4 linked regions of the Macaca fascicularis genome follow. The protein of the gene in region 3 interacts with the protein of the main gene of each other region in a pairwise test. Links are inferred from orthologs where the notes say so. Each region holds a gene or a part of one and is shown on either strand. Other genes may lie near its edges. The genes, in order: BTRC, AHSP, ZC3H12A and P4HA3.

Evidence for each region.
Region 1: the proteins of ZC3H12A (region 3) and BTRC interact in binary tests that used the Homo sapiens proteins (3 or more experiments, as listed by UniProt). The link is inferred for Macaca fascicularis from reciprocal best matches to the Homo sapiens genes ZC3H12A and BTRC.
Region 2: the proteins of ZC3H12A (region 3) and AHSP interact in binary tests that used the Homo sapiens proteins (3 or more experiments, as listed by UniProt). The two-hybrid records come from large-scale screens. The link is inferred for Macaca fascicularis from reciprocal best matches to the Homo sapiens genes ZC3H12A and AHSP.
Region 4: the proteins of ZC3H12A (region 3) and P4HA3 interact in binary tests that used the Homo sapiens proteins (3 or more experiments, as listed by UniProt). The two-hybrid records come from large-scale screens. The link is inferred for Macaca fascicularis from reciprocal best matches to the Homo sapiens genes ZC3H12A and P4HA3.

Annotation. Positions count from the first base shown.
Region 1 is NC_088383.1:110,491,870-110,495,745, forward strand, and holds part of BTRC (F-box/WD repeat-containing protein 1A), read left to right. Parts: intron 1-1,603; coding exon 1,604-1,835; intron 1,836-3,876. UniProt on the Homo sapiens protein: Substrate recognition component of a SCF (SKP1-CUL1-F-box protein) E3 ubiquitin-protein ligase complex which mediates the ubiquitination and subsequent proteasomal degradation of target proteins. Recognizes and binds to phosphorylated target proteins.
Region 2 is NC_088394.1:29,732,187-29,735,470, reverse strand, and holds AHSP (alpha-hemoglobin-stabilizing protein), read right to left. Parts: upstream 1,585-3,284; 5' UTR 1,467-1,584; intron 1,346-1,466; 5' UTR 1,342-1,345; coding exon 1,267-1,341; intron 1,010-1,266; coding exon 776-1,009; 3' UTR 664-775; downstream 1-663. UniProt on the Homo sapiens protein: Acts as a chaperone to prevent the harmful aggregation of alpha-hemoglobin during normal erythroid cell development. Specifically protects free alpha-hemoglobin from precipitation.
Region 3 is NC_088375.1:197,447,763-197,451,638, forward strand, and holds part of ZC3H12A (endoribonuclease ZC3H12A), read right to left. Parts: intron 1,160-3,876; coding exon 1,020-1,159; intron 1-1,019. UniProt on the Homo sapiens protein: Endoribonuclease involved in various biological functions such as cellular inflammatory response and immune homeostasis, glial differentiation of neuroprogenitor cells, cell death of cardiomyocytes, adipogenesis and angiogenesis.
Region 4 is NC_088388.1:73,182,611-73,187,097, reverse strand, and holds the start of P4HA3 (prolyl 4-hydroxylase subunit alpha-3), read left to right. Parts: upstream 1-1,636; 5' UTR 1,637-1,658; coding exon 1,659-1,858; intron 1,859-4,487. UniProt on the Homo sapiens protein: Catalyzes the post-translational formation of 4-hydroxyproline in -Xaa-Pro-Gly- sequences in collagens and other proteins.

The sequences.
Region 1 (3,876 bases), on a different chromosome or scaffold from region 3:
ACACTGTCTCAAAACAAACAAAAAAAAGAATCTTGGAGACCATCTTAGAATTTTGCCTATGACAATAACATATATTTTTTTCCTGTTCCTTTATCCTGCTTTATTTTTCTTCATAGCACTACCTACATTATATTTTCTAAGTATTTGCTTGTATTTTGTTTGTTTGTTTGTTTTGGGGGACAGAGTCTCGCCCTGTTGCCCAGGCTGGAGGGAAGTGGTGCAATCTCAGCTCACTGCAACCTCTGCCTCCCAGGTTCAAGCTATTCTCCTGCCTCAGCCTCCTGAGTAGCTGGGATTACAAGTGTAAGCTACTGCGCCTGGCTGCTTGTGTTTTTAATGTGCCTTTTACACTAAGAGTATATGTTAGTGATGTTAGAGACTGTCATTTTTGTTGTTATATTCCTAGTACCAAGGACAGTGTTGGGCACATTGTAGGTGCTCAGTAAATACTTATTGAATGAGTCAATTAATAAAAAAGACTGCATGGGAAATACAGAATATTTTATTTTATGGAAAAGGGTAGATTGAGCATATGAGTGTTATTTTAGCTTTATGTTCAAAAAGGTACCACAGAGTCTCAGAATATTCTTTGGTTTCTCTTTCCATAAAGGACTTCTTATTTAACAATTAAAAACCAAGTTGTTGGCTGGGCACAGTGGCTATTGCCTGTAATCCCAGCACTTTGGGAGGCTGAAGCAGGCAGATCATTTGAGGTCAGGAGTTCAAGACCAGCCTGTCCAACATGGTGAAACCCTGTCTCTACTAAAAATATAAAACTTAGCCAGGTGTGGTGGTGGGCACCTGTAGTCCCAATACTTGGGAGGCTGAGGCAGGAGAATCACTTGATTCTCCACCTGGGAGGTGGAAGTTGCAGTGAGCCAAGATTGTGCCAGTGCACTCCAGCCTGGGCAACAGAGCAAGACTCTGTCTAAAAAAAAAAAAGCTGTGATGACAGGGCACAATGGCTCACACCTGTAATCCCAGCACTTTGAAAAGCCAAGGCAGGAAAATTGCTTGAAGCCAGGAGTTTGAGACCAGCCTGGGCAACAAAAGAAGACTCCATCTGTACAAAAAAAATTTAAAAATTAGCTGTACATGGTAGTTTGCACCAATATAGTCTCAGCTACTCTGGAGGCTAAGGTGGGAGGATCGCTTGAGCCCAGGAGCTAGAGGCTGCAGTGAGCTATGATCTATCTCACCACTGCACTCCAGCCTGGGTGATAGAGTGAGACCTTGTCTCAAAAAAAAGTTGTGAGCAAGTAATTGTATAACTGTCCAACAACTGTTGTATACAAGAAAAAGCAAATTAGATTTTTGGCTTGCTAGTAATAACATGCTTTCAGCTTTCAGTTTTTATTTGTGTATGTTCAAGTATTAAGAATGTCTTCTGCAAACTTTTGGAAATGGATGCTTAGTCTTCTGGCGTTATAGCTGATTTACCAACTTTGTATGGTGTTTCTGTGGTTTTCCACGTAATTGCTAATAGAATAACAGAGTCGGCTCAATCGTGTAGACATAACATAGCATGCCATACCAGAAAATCGTGTATATTTCCCTCATTTTCAATACTAATCGTTTTGTTTCTTTTAACCCCCTTCTATAGACAAAACTTGCCAATGGCACTTCCAGTATGATTGTGCCCAAGCAACGGAAACTCTCGGCAAGCTATGAAAAGGAAAAGGAACTGTGTGTCAAATACTTTGAGCAGTGGTCAGAGTCAGATCAAGTGGAATTTGTGGAACATCTTATATCCCAAATGTGTCATTACCAACATGGGCACATAAACTCGTATCTTAAACCTATGTTGCAGAGAGATTTCATAACTGCTTTGCCAGGTATGTCTACAAGTGTTTGTAAATCATGAATTTGCTGTGATGATAACAGAACTAAATCTCTAGCTATGTATCTGTCTTTAAAAGTCTTTATTGGCTTGATTTTTACAAATTAAGTTCCTTAACTGTACTTTTTGGTGTAAAGCTTTTTTTTTTTTTTTTTTTTTTTTTTTGAGACGGAGTCTTGCTCTGTAGCCCAGGCTGGAGTGCAGTGGTGTGATCTTGGCTCACTGCAAGCTCCGCCTCCCGGGTTCACGCCATTCTCCTGCCTCAGCCTCCTGAGTAGCTGGGACTAGAAGCGCCCGCCACCATGCCCGGCTAATTTTTTGTGTTTTTAGTAGAGACAGGGTTTCACCGTGTTAGCCAGGATGGTCTCAATCTCCTGACCTTGTGATCGTCCCGCCTCGGCCTCCCAAAGTGCTAGGATTACAGGCATGAGCCGCTGCGCTCGGCTGGTATAAAGCTTTTAAAAAAACAAACTCTAGAAATAAAGACTCTTTTTTTTTTTTTTTTTTTTGAGGCAGAGTCTCACTTTGTCACCTAGACTGGAGTGAGTGCAGTGGCATGATCTTGGCTCATTGCAACCTCTGCCTCCCAGGTTCAGGCAATTCTCCTGCCTCAGCCTCCCGAGTAGCTGGGACTACAGGCACCTGACACCATGCCTGGCTAATTTTTGTATTTTTAGTAGAGGCAGGGTTTCACCATATTGGCCAGGCTGATCTTGAACTCTTGACCTCCAATGATTCACCCGCCTCAGCCTCCCAAAGTGCTGGGATTACAGGCATGAGCCACCGCGCCCAGCCGAGACTCCTTTTATCCTATCTTCTTACTCATGCCCTTCTATTCAACCTATTTTTACCCATACATAGGTCCAAATAAAATCTTTTCTGAGGTGTTACCTGATGTAAGTTGTGTCTTTTATAATATGTCTTAGTTTCAAGATATGTTTATGTACTTGGATTTGTATTTCTATGAGAATATATCAACAGAATATTGAAATTCTACAGATGAATAAAAAACATTTTTAATTGAAGTTTTTAGAAAGAAGGCTATCTCATAAGCCTCGTTGTGGTGTTAAATAAATAAATATAAAATGATATGTAAAATCCTTTTTTTGGAGGGTGCTGTGGTTTTTCTAAATGCTTATTTTTGGAAGGGCTTATTTTCCTGACATAGTATTCCCCCCAAATACTGACACCTAGAACACTTCCAAGGTGTCAGTGTTTGGGGGGAATGCTATGTCAGGAAGATAAGATTCTTGTGTATTCAAAGTTTATTTTAAGAGGAAAAAATCATACCAACTTGAATGAATCTTATCTTAAATGTCATATCTTGTTAGGGGAGGGGGTGTTGTTGTTTTCCAGTTACAGAAGTTACAGGGAACTTAGAAAATATTTAAAAACATTTCCCCCCAGCATTCAGAAAGAACTACTGATTTGCTATATTATTAATATTTTGGCAGGTAGCCTTTCTGTTTTGTCTAGGTATGTGTTTTTTTTTTCCTATAAAGCTTTGATCATAAATGTTTTGTGACCATTTTTCTGAATACATTCTCTTCATGTATTTTTCTGAATGTGTGTTCTTTTCAATTGTTGCATAATATTCTTTACAATGGTTGAAGCACATACTATTTAACCCCTTTATTGAACATTTAGGTAGTTTCAAAATTTTTTCCTATTATAAACCATGTGATGATGAATTTTTATACATTAATCTTGTGGGAATCCTACGGAAAAAAATACAGACATGGAATCGCTATATATTAAGGAATATGAACATTTTTAAAGGCTTTTAATACATGGTGCCAAACTATCCCCTGATAAAAATATACCAGCTCATAGCCTCCCAACTATTAATACTACTTTGTTTTATATTTGCTAATTATACCTTTTTTAAATTTTTGTTTTTCTGAACTAGGAATTTAAGTTGCTGTTTAAAACAAAAGAAATACCTATTTATATCTTAGGAATAACCCCTGTAAAAACTGAATTTTACCTATATCTTTTGTTAAATGGAATAGATTTTTGCCCCCTCTTTACTCATT
Region 2 (3,284 bases), on a different chromosome or scaffold from region 3:
CCAGAGCCCTAAAATAGAGGCTTCGAGTCTGGAGGTCTGGGAGAAAGGGAGCCTAGACCGGGAATTGACCCGAGAAGCTTGGGGCGGGGGAAAGGCGGGCTCCTCTGCTTCCCAATCCTGGCATCTGCGCCCAGGGATGTTGGAGCCAAAGGGAAGGGGCTCCCTGGCTTGAAACCTAAGTGGCGCGCTGAAGGGTTCTCAAGATCCCTTACAACTCTAAATTCCTAAGATGCTCGGGCCTCCGGGGAGGTATTCTGCGGTAGTCAGAGTCCGAAGATCCTAGAATGTTGTTTGAGCTGGAGCTAAGGACAGGGGATTGAAAAGTCGAGGCGGTGGACCTGGCGCAGGATGAACAAGACTGGGAGACTTCCAGCAGTTTCCTCCTCGACAAGCAGGTCACAGGACAACGTCTGGAGGGCTTCTATCCCCCTTTCTTGTTTCTGCCACCCCCTCCCCCGCGCCTCCGCACTCTCTCTAGTCCTGCCTTCCTGGCCCTCATTCAGCCTGTTTTAGTTTAGAATCGCTGCCCAGTGTTCACTTAAGGCTGCTAACCTCTGCTCTAAGGAATTAAGCTTCCAAGAGCATATCTAAGAAGGAGGGCGGAAGGAAAGGGACCGACTGCCTCCACATGTCAGGTCAGACCATGAAAGAGAAGCCAGGAAGTCCAACAAAACCAGCACTGGTCTTTATTGAGGTGTCAGTGTAGAGTGGCGGGAGCACAGCCTAAGGACATGAAGGTCAGAGTTTCTCAGAGAGGAGGGGCTGGGTCCCTGGGCTAGGAGGAGAGCGGTGGGTGACTCCGGAGCTCATGAGACTTCAGGAAGTCCCTGTACTTGGCCAGGAAAGGGTTGGCCAGAGTGTTCAGCTCTTGCCGAAGCTCCTGCAGAGCCCTGTCTCGTTCTTGGGGCTCCCCTGTCACCTGCTGCCTGTAATAGTTGATGTAGAAGTTCATCCAGTCCTCCACCACAGTCACCATGTCTTCTTCAGAGATGAGAGGATCATTGAAGACCTGGGGGGTTGCGGAGAGGCAGTTGGCAAGGGAGAATGTGGTCAGCAGTGGGATTCAGGAATACCCAGAATAGTGCCACGGCACCAGCTCTCACATCCTCCTTCCTCTGCATTGTATCCCGTGTCTCTCATTGTTTCCAGCAATTCCACCATTACTTCATCAGCTCCAGTTATCCTCTGTTTTCTGCCCTCATCCTCCACTTCCCCAGCACCCCCCAGTCTCCAGGCCAGTCCTTTGAAACGAAAGCCTGAACTCACCTGCTGATTCAGCAGAGCGCCGAACTCCTGCCGTCCTGCAGAAATGAGATCCTTATTGGCCTTAAGAAGAGCCATCTGCCTGGGTAGAGAAAAGGGTAGAATTGACATATCCGTTTCCCTCCTCACTGGGTATTTCCCCCAGTCTGCTTCCGCCCCTTAAAAATTCCTCCTGCCCTGCAGGGCCACCTCCTTTCCAAAACCTTTCACATCCTGCTCTGCTCTGAGGTCACGATTTTCCCAGGTTGGGCTCACCTTCAGGTCTAACAGGGTGTATATGTCTCACCCACACTCTTGAGGGTGCGTGAATCGCTCTGTGCCAAGCTCTAGATGTAGGCAATGAGTCAAATGTCAGCCTAAGATAGAAACGCCCTGCATCTAGGTCCTGAAAGAGGGTGATAGGTCATTCTGGGGAGGAGAAGAAGGGAGAGGCTTCCCTGAAGGTAGAAAGATAACAAGGCCAAAAAAAAAAAAAAGATAAATGAGGAAACCCAGGAAACCAAGAATGCAAGAGTCAAACCAGGGACATGTCGTTGCCCTTGGCCCCATATTTAGTATGCAGGCTTGAAATTCTATGGAAATTGACATTTACTGAGCCTTATTACATGACGGAGGCTTTTGTGTAATCACAACGATGTGATGGCAATTATTCTCTCAATTCAGAGATGATGTATTAATAGCAGCTTGCATTACATCTATTCATTTGCGCCAAGCACTGTTTCAAACGTATAAAATATTTATCCTATAAAATTTCTTTTTAGACACATGTTGCAGATAAGCCATCTGTAAGCATGTAGACCGAACTCCACCATGCTGCACTCCACAAGAATGGAGATGAATAGCCGGGCGTGGTGGTGGGTGCCTGTAGTTTCAGCTGCTTGGGAATCTGAGGCACAAGAATCACTTGAACCCAGGAGGCAAAGGTTGCAGTGGGCCAAGATCATGCCACAGCACTCCAACAAGGCGAAGGAGATGCATTTGTCTTCTTCACTACCCCCTCAACAGGTATCCAATAAAGCAGAAATACTCTTTTTCTTCTTTTTAAATATTTTTCCTGGTATTTTCCATTTTCAATAGATGTTTCTCAAATTTCAAAATCACTATATACTAATTTAAATAATTAAAAAAATACAAAAACATACACTGAAAAACAATCATTTTTGCCCCCTCCAAAGTAACCAGCATTAAACATGGTATATTTCCTGTCACTTTTTTTTTCCATTCAAAACCCAACATTCATAGGTACCTATACACTCATAAAGTTTTGTTGATTTGCCTTTTTGGTTGTAGCATTTTAAAATCAATATACAGCAAAACTGACTTCCTTTTGGTGTACAATTTATTAATTTTTTTTTTTTTTTTTTTTGAGAGGGAGTCTCCCTCTGTGGCCCAGGCTGGAGTGCAGTAACGCGATCTCGGCTCACTGCAAACTTTACCTCCCAGGTTCAGGCGATTCTCCTGCCTCAGCCTCCCAAGTAGCTGGGATTACAGGCGTGCACTACCACGCCTAGCTAATTTTTGTATTTTAGTAGAGATGGGGTTTCATCATGTTGGCCAGGCTAGTCTCGAACTCCTGACCTCAAGTGATCCACCCACTTCCCAAAGTGCTGGGATGACAGGTGTGAGCCACTGCATCCGGCCTACAACCGCGGTTAAGATACAGAATGTTTCCATAACCCAAAAACCACTCCTTCATGTTACCCTTTTGTAGCCACCCCTCCCGTCACCCATAACTTCTGGCAACCACTTATCTGTTCATCACTACAGTTAAGTCTTTTTCAGGATGTCATATAAATGGAATCATACAGTCTGTAACCTTTGAGGCTGGCGTTTTTTGGTCAGCATGATGTTCTTGAACTCCATCCAAGTTATTGCAAGTGTCAGTGCACACAGTGCGTTGTATGGACGCACTGTAGTTTGTTCATTCAGCCACGGAAGGACATCTAGATTGTTTGCACTTTGGGGCAAGTGTGAATAGAGTTGCTATAAACGTTTGTGTACAGGTTTCCATGTGAACATGT
Region 3 (3,876 bases):
CACACCCCAGCCCCTCCCTTGGCCCGGCATAGTTTGCTGCCTGAAGACCAAGAACATCTGAGCACAGGTGGCAGGGCCTGCATGGCAAAGGCTCCAAGCACAGAGCTGGCCTTGCTCCTTTTCTCTCTCTGGACATCAGGCCTGTTCAAGCCAGATGTGGTCTTGGCTTTGGCTTTCATCCAGCCTGTTCTGAGGGGTCCGTGAATGAGCCCCAGCTTGCTCTGGGGTGGGAGAAGTATTTTGGCTCTGTCCCTTGCATTGCCAGGACAAGGTTGCTAAATCCCATGGTGGGGAAAGGTCAGGCCACTCACCAGGCCCCACCTGGGGAGCTGCTGGGACCACAGGGACACAGATGTGAGCAAGTGGAAAGGGCCCCTCTTCCTGGAGCCTGTAGCCCCAGACAGCCTGCCCCCAGATCTCAAGACTTCTAGAGAAACGGATTCAGTTTTTACCTCCAAAAGCTGGGGGCTCTTGCAAGAACAGTGGTAACAGCTAACATACACTGAACGTCTACCACGTGCCAGGTACTCTTCTCAGCACTTAACCATGTGTTAACTTATACAATCTCATGAGGAAGGAGCTGCTGTCAACACCCCCCGCCGACACTGACCCCATGTTTCAGATGAGGAGCACGTGGAGCGGGGCTAACAGAGATCCCTGCCCAGGCCAGGGCGCCAGGAGGGGACAGAGCCAGGATTCCAACTCTGGTTGTCTTGACTCAGAGCCCACAGGCTTAACCACTATGTGGCACTGCCCCTCTACCACTGGGGAGGTTGAAAGAGTGACCCGCCCACCAGTAGGATGAGGGAGGGGCCCCACATCTGAGGCAGAAGACTAGACAAGGTGACCTCCAATGACCACTGTTCAGAGCAGGTTGCTAAGGACAGAAAAAACTGAGAAAAGAAATGCTGGTCCCTGCTTGAGTTCTAGAAGTTAGGCCACTCCCAGAGGGTCTCTCTTGGGGAGAACCAGGGCTGCTGGGGCAGTAATACCATCCCACCTCCAGAGGCAGCACTCACCTGTGATGGGCACATCGGGCCGAGGCTGCTCCTTCCTCCAGGATGGCACAAACACTGTGATGTCTGTGTGGCCCCGCTCCAGAAACCAGTTCACCGCCAGCAGGATGCCCCGGCAGGAGAAGACCTCCTTGTTCCCATGGCTGGGAGGGAGAGGAGGACAGGGTTAGCCCACACTGATGGCCAGCCTGCCACCCCCTAGGCCTGAGCAGGAGGAGGGGGGCTGTCATACCCCACCCCTGCCCTGGCTTTGGTGGTGGTGGTGAGCAGCCCCTTCCCCTTTGGAATCACCAGCCCCTTCCTCTTTCCCCAGGGCTCAGGCCCTGGCCCTCTGCAGGTGGGGCCCAAGGCCAAGGCCTCCATTCCCAGTGCCAGTTCCCACAACTCCAGGATGGCCAGGCCCCGCTGGGACTTTCCCTGAGGCTCCATCTCCTGAAAGTGAGGAAGCGCCCAGGAAGCTGGCAGCACTGCTCCCCACGGTGGGGGAGGGCCAGGCCACTTGCAACACACCTGGGGGTGGGGGAAAGGTGCCGGGAGACTTCTGGTTCCTGCCCCACCCGGCGAGCTGCCGGGACCACAGGGACAGACGTACACATGCACACTGAGTCACCACCCCTCCCTCGCCTCTTGCAGCATGGGTGGGGGCGGGGGAAGCACCGGCTGGGCTGACTGAGGAGAAACCAGATTGTTCCGGATTAAAGTTCAGTCCTCACACACACCTCAGGGACTGGGGCCTGAGAAGGGCAAAGGGGAAGGGGCTGGCGACTCCAGCCTTCAGTGTGGGACAGAAAGTGCCAGAGTGGAGCAGGCTCCCCTTTCAGTCTGAAAGTGAAAGGATACTGCTTTTCCTCCCAAGATGGCAATCCCCCCAAACGCCTGTTCACCCCAAGGCTGAAAGACCATCAGGAAGACGCCGGGGGACTCTTAGTAAGGACAGCTGAGTGAGGCACGGGCCCTGCCTTGGTCTCAGACCAGGCCGTACCCCACCCACAGGTGGCTGCACCCAGAAGGGCGCCTGGCGGGGCTCCTGGGCTGCTGCAGCTCTCCATTCCTCTATCTGAAAACGGGCCCAGCAGTCTGCAGTGTCCTTAAGACGGGTCAGTCAGCTTTCCTGGTGGCTTCAGGCCAAAGATGGCCCTGCAAAGTAGGGGTTCCAGCTGGATTTCCTGGGGGACGGAGGACTGGGGCTTGGGGCTCCCAGGTAACACTAAGTGTCATGGAAGAGCTCCTAGGACCAGCAGCCCCACCTCTCACTGCCCCCTCAGTGAACAGCTTAGACTCTCATATTTGGCAAATAAAACAGAATAAATGTTACGCAAAAGAGGCAAGTCCAGGGCCGACCACATCCTGTGGGTGTCTTTAATGGGAGTGGGGGAGGTAAGGGGTGATAGCTGGAGCCTTAAGAGAAGGTAAGGCAGCTGGGGGCCATGGAGGCTGTTTGGGGGCAAGGCTGGGGCACCAGGGTCTGAAGGTCTCTAAATTGTAGGGGAGACAAAGTCCAGCCCAGGGCAGCACTCATCCTCCCCTGGTCCCCCTGCCCCATCTGCCAGCCTGCTTATAAGAAAAGTTCCCATTTGCTGAGAGCTGTGAACCAGGCCCTGTTCTAAGCACCTAACACTGAATCATCAGCAAGCTTGTGAGGAGGGCACTATACCACCATCATCCCCTTCCCTGTTTTTCAGATGAAAACTGTGGTCCAGAGAAGGCAGCTTAGTCACCAGGGTCACACAGCAGTAACGGTGGAACAGCGATGCAGGCCCAGGACCTGTGCCTATCACCACCCTGTACATTAATGCTCAGGTAGGTATAAAGGCAGACAGACCCTGATCACAGGGAATGAGCAGGGATTCGCAGGCACCGAGCTCCCACTGGCAGCCAAATATATGGCTTCATTCTTACAGGGCTTGCTACTGTGAAGGAAAGGAAGGCTCTGGGACTCGTCCAAGGTCACCTGGCTAGTGGTAAGAGACATTCAGAACTGGAACCCAGGTCTGGGCCACTTGGTTGCCTTCCTGTCTCTAACAGAAGACCCAGAATTTATTTGGGAGAACAAAGCTCCCAAAATTAAGTTTAAACAAAGTGTGTTCTAAGAGACAGGCGGCGAAAGGGAGAAACAATGCTGGGGGCAAACTCCTGCTCTTCCTTCAAAATGCTTGTGAGATGTCACTGCCTCTGAGAAGCCTTCCCTGACCTGCCACAATGGGTCAGGTCCCTGGTCTGTGTCTTCACAATGCCCAGTGCTTCCCCCATCACATCATCCCCTTCCCTGGGCCTTCTGCCCTGCCTCTCAAAACCGTGGCAGCTGGGTCACCCCAGGCCCAGCTCCTTCTCTCAGGTATGCAGTGTGCGCATGTATCCACCCACCCGCCTCCCTCCGGGCACGTGATCCTAGGCTGGTATCTTGGAGCCTTGGGAACTAATGGGATGCCAGGGCTCCCAGGGCAGTGCACTGCCTCTGGGCATTGAAAATCTTGGCTGGGGACAAGTCGGTCCTCAGCAGCCCTAGCACCTGAATATTCCCTCAGCAGATGGAAAAACTGTGATCAGTGGGTGCTATCAGAGCCCTCTTGGTACAGCACATGAGGCCTGGAGTGCCCCCCTACAGCTAGCTTTAGTCTGTTTCACTGCACTGGAGGAAGCGCTGCTGGCACAGGAAAACCAGACATCCCTGCCCCCACCCCAGTCCTCTTTGCCCGTAAGGTCAGGGTCCCCCAGCCTGGCGAAGCAGACACTGATAGGAAGTGTGTGTAGAAGACTCCAGCTAGACTGCTCCTGCCCCAGGACAGAGGGCAGGGCTGGGCCAGCCTCCCCAGGTGAAAAGATATGCCTGGGCTGGGCCTGGTGAGTGGAGAAAAATTCC
Region 4 (4,487 bases), on a different chromosome or scaffold from region 3:
TGTTAGCATCTTTATCCAACCGCAGTCAGTGATGACATATTCTCATGTTGAAATCAGCCACTATGGGAGAATTGACACCACAGAAATTGGCAAATGCCACAAATCAGAATTTTAATTTTTTTCCTAGACAGCTGGTTTACAGCACACCTCAAATGTGGTCCACAAGTGATTAACATTGAGTAGGTTATTGATTGTCCCTACAACTCAGTCTTCTCATTGGTAAAGTGGGGCTAATAATACTATAAGAATACTACTACTACCTAGGCTGTAAGGTCAGCATGAGAATTAAATGAGTTAATACATATAAAATACTCTGGACAGCAATTAAATGAGTTAATATATGTAAAATACTCTGGATGGCCCCTGCCACACAGGAAACACTCAGTAAGTATTAACTGCTGTGTTTACTATTGCCATTGTTACTACAATTATTACCACCTTAAAAACTTCCACTGGATTTTCATAGAGGAAAAGCACCTAAATTTCTTAGTATGGCATGCAAAGGCCCTTCGCAATCTGATAGTTTCAAGCACAAGGAACTTCTCGTCATTTCTGGAACTCAAACTGTTTTCCACCTCCAAACCTTGTCACGCACAGGTACCTTCTGCCAGGAAAGCCCACTCCTCCCTTGCCTGTCAACTTCCAATTTTTTTCATGCTTTTGAACCAGCACACATTATCTCCTCTCTGAAGCCCTCTCCACCCGCTAGATGAGGGTTCCTTCTTCAGTGTTGCCATTGCACATTGCACAACCCTCAGTTACTCTGACAGCACTTTACTGTGATTACTTGTTTACATATCTGTCTCCTCCTCTGAGTCCAGGATTGGATCTGCTATTTCTCTGTGTAGTCAGCACATTAACATAGGTGCTAATAAATATTTGTTGAATGAATGAACATTGCCTGGGAAATGATTAAGAGGGGGGAAATAGAGTAAGTAGCTTAGTAGGCTATAATAATAGCAATATTTTTGTTTGCCTAAGTGACTCTAGGTATATTGTGTAAAGCAGTGACATCAGGACCCCAGAGTTTCAGGTTCTGTAAGTCCTAGATTTGTCATACACTCACATCCTCACAGAGTCCTACTCATCCTTCAGATGGCTCAGATGTCACGCCCTCTGTGAGGGTTTTCCTGCCTGCTGCCCTCTTGCCGCTCTTTGCCTGCGCAGCTATTCACACACGCAAAATTGGCTCTTCTGTGGGGATCCAGTGGTGTTTGTGTATTCCCACTCCATGGTACAGAGGGGCGGATATTTTAGGGATGTTGTCAGCATGGTGTTAACAATATTTGGGGATGGTCACAGCCTTAGACCTGTGAATTCATCGCTCACCTCGCCCCCGCCTCAATTTCTCCCAGTGTGATGGGCACAGTGGAAACACCTTCACAGGGTCGCGATTTAGTGGAGGGCGGCTGACACTGATGTTGCAGGAAGCCCCCACGCATTCCGAGGAGCTGAGGGCTAGAGAGCGAGGTGAGGCGCGTCGAAACAAGGAAGGAGGCAGGGGGCGTGGGGCGAGACTGGGCTGCGGAGGCGACTGACCGGGGCCAGGGGGCGGGGCCTGAGCCGGGAGGGGGCGGGGAAAGGGGCGGGGCAGGCCAGGGCAGGAGCAGCTGGCTCCGCGCGGCCAGGACTGTCTGAGAAGTGCGCTAGCGCTGGCGATGGGTCCAGGGGCGCGGCTGGCGGCGCTGCTGGCAGTGCTGGCGCTCGGGACAGGAGACCCAGAAAGGGCTGCTGCGCGGGGCGACACGTTCTCTGCACTGACCAGCGTGGCGCGCGCCCTGGGGCCCGAACGCCGGCTGCTGGGGCTGCTGAGGCGGTACCTGCGCGGGGAGGAGGCGCGGCTGCGGGACCTGACTAGGTGAGGGCACGGCGAGTGGGAGCGACCGAGGGGCCTCAGTGGGAGACACTGTGCAGCAACGTGGGGTGACTCAGGTTGAGTGTGACCCCAGGCTCATTGTCATGCTGCGTGGGACCCCAGACCCACTGTCGCATCGTGCGACTGAGACATTGTGGCGTGGGATGGGGAGTGGCTCTGAGGGCCAGTGTGACCCCCCAGACCCATTGTCACAGTGTGTGGGACCCCGACACTCCGTGGCATGAGGTGTTGGCGAGGGTTGAGTCACACTGTGTGGGACTGCAGACTCCATAACACACACGGTGGCACTGTGGAAGAGCGGGGTGGGGTGACTCAAGGACCTCACAATGTGCTGTGCGAAGCTGTATGATCCCCAGGCCCTGTGTCACACTGACACAGACTCAGTGGACGGTGCTGTGACAGAGACACTGTGAGAGTGAGATGGAGAAAATATGGTGACGCTTTAGCTATGCAAGTATTGACTTTTCAAGGGGCGATCATGAAACACCGCATGACCTAGTGAGCTGAAGTTTAGTGTTAGGAGTCAGGTGACAGTCTTCCACCATATGTGAGATTTACATGTCATTGGCACTGGATGGGCACGACGCTGTGGATATCATACTCTGCATGTGAGTGATGCTGAGTAACTGTACAGGTCGCTATATGAATAATGCTTCAGTTCATTAATTCATAGAACACATATTTTTGAGTGCCTACTAAGAGCCAGGCAGTGTTCCAGGTAGTGGGGATAAAATGGTGAAGAAGAGCCAACTCTGCCCTCAAGGAGTTCGGGTCTGTAGCACCATGACTGTGAATCAGAGATGTCCACTGCCCTCTACGTCTTCAGTTCTTCCTTCTCCTTACACATGTAGAAGCTCTCTAAATACTAAATAAATGATAACTGAGATGTTATATGTGTGTCAACATATTTGATATCAAAAAAGCACTGTGAAAAAACATACTTGATGCAGAAGATATTGAGTATAGCACACGGCAGTGGATGCTCAGCTAATATTGTTTTGATATACAATCAACAAACTCTAGTGCTACACACTGTGGCATAAAAGATTGTTAGACTTGGGATGCTGAGGCACCATAGTCATGTATCGACTTTGGCAGTGTCCAGCTGAGAAAAATGAAAGATAAATGATTGTATATGATACCATCTGTATGAATATGTGCTGCGCCTTCTCTGCTTGGGACATGAAGAAGCCTACAACACTGACAGAGTGGTTATGACCACGTCACTATTTGGATATATTAATATTGTACCTTTATCACGTGACCTCCTTCTCATTGAGCTAAGACGGCACAATGCACTGCTTTTAAAACTTTGCGTGAGTGTATGTGATAGTAATACTGATTCTGGGGTGACATGAGAAGAAGGTATGTGGAATGGGGAGTGACTCTGAGGTCCAGTGTGACCCCCAAACCCATTGTCACCCTGTGCAAAACTTTGAGACCCCATGACTGTGAGAGAGAGCTATGTAGAAGAAAAGCATTTTGTGGGTGGAAAGTATTTGTGAGAGATCTTGTTAATAGTGACTGAATGAGCTAATTTGGTGCTTGTCCTTAAGTATGTGGCTTGCATATAAACAGCTTGAAATAGTGTGACAATGTACAATATAGGTATGTATTAATTTTAACAATAAATGAAGATCATTTCAATAACTATTGTCACTTTTTGGTATAGCATTGTTGTCTAGTATTCTATGGGTCCATGCTGACTGAGTCAAATGTCTTCTTTTTGTTCATAGCCCAGAGTCATTGGAGTCCAAGCTTATTGATGGAAATAGGAAAGACTTTTTTCTGCTTGATTTCAGAGCCCAGCATGCTCCCTGCTACCCATGCTTGTTTTCATACCAGTAATCTCTTTCTTTGGGTAGCTCAGATGGAGATGGGAGTGGGGGGTCAGAATCCCTGTGCTGGTCTTTCAGGTTACATTCTCAGAAGAGAGCACTCAGAGCATTTTGGCCAAAGCAGCTGGCCGACCCCACTCCGCCATGCTGGTCTCTTTCACTGTCTTTCCACCATTATCATTGCCACAACTTTGTCGCAGCAGGAGGTCTCATACAAACCGTATCTCATTTGATTCTCTCTCACACACGGTGCTTTGAAATAGATTTGTATTACACTGTTAACTGTTGAGAAATCAGTTAAAACCCAAGAAAACTAAAGTCTAGTTGCTTATTCAAGATTGTATTAATAAATCTAACAGGTAGCAAATCCAGGACTAGGATACAGTTGTTTTGACTGTTTATCCAACTTTTTTCCTATTATGCTATGTTATCCCTACCGCTTCTTTTATCTGTTATACCAAGACATAGACCAAGCCCCTAACTAATTGAGGTTTTACTAGTGGCCACAGTACATAGTGGTTAACGGTAAATTCAGGAGTTTAACAGACCTCTGTTTGAATCATTGGCTCTGATCTGGGACAAGTTACTTTACCTCTTTGAGCTTTAGTTTCCTAATCTTTAAAATGATGATAAACACAGTACCTATCACTATAGGGTTGTTGAAGGATTAAGAGTACCATGTAAAAGTATTTATCATTATGCCTGGCATGTAACAATTGCTGGACAAATGCTAAGCCTTTATGCTTATTATTTTATTTTATTTTATTTTATTT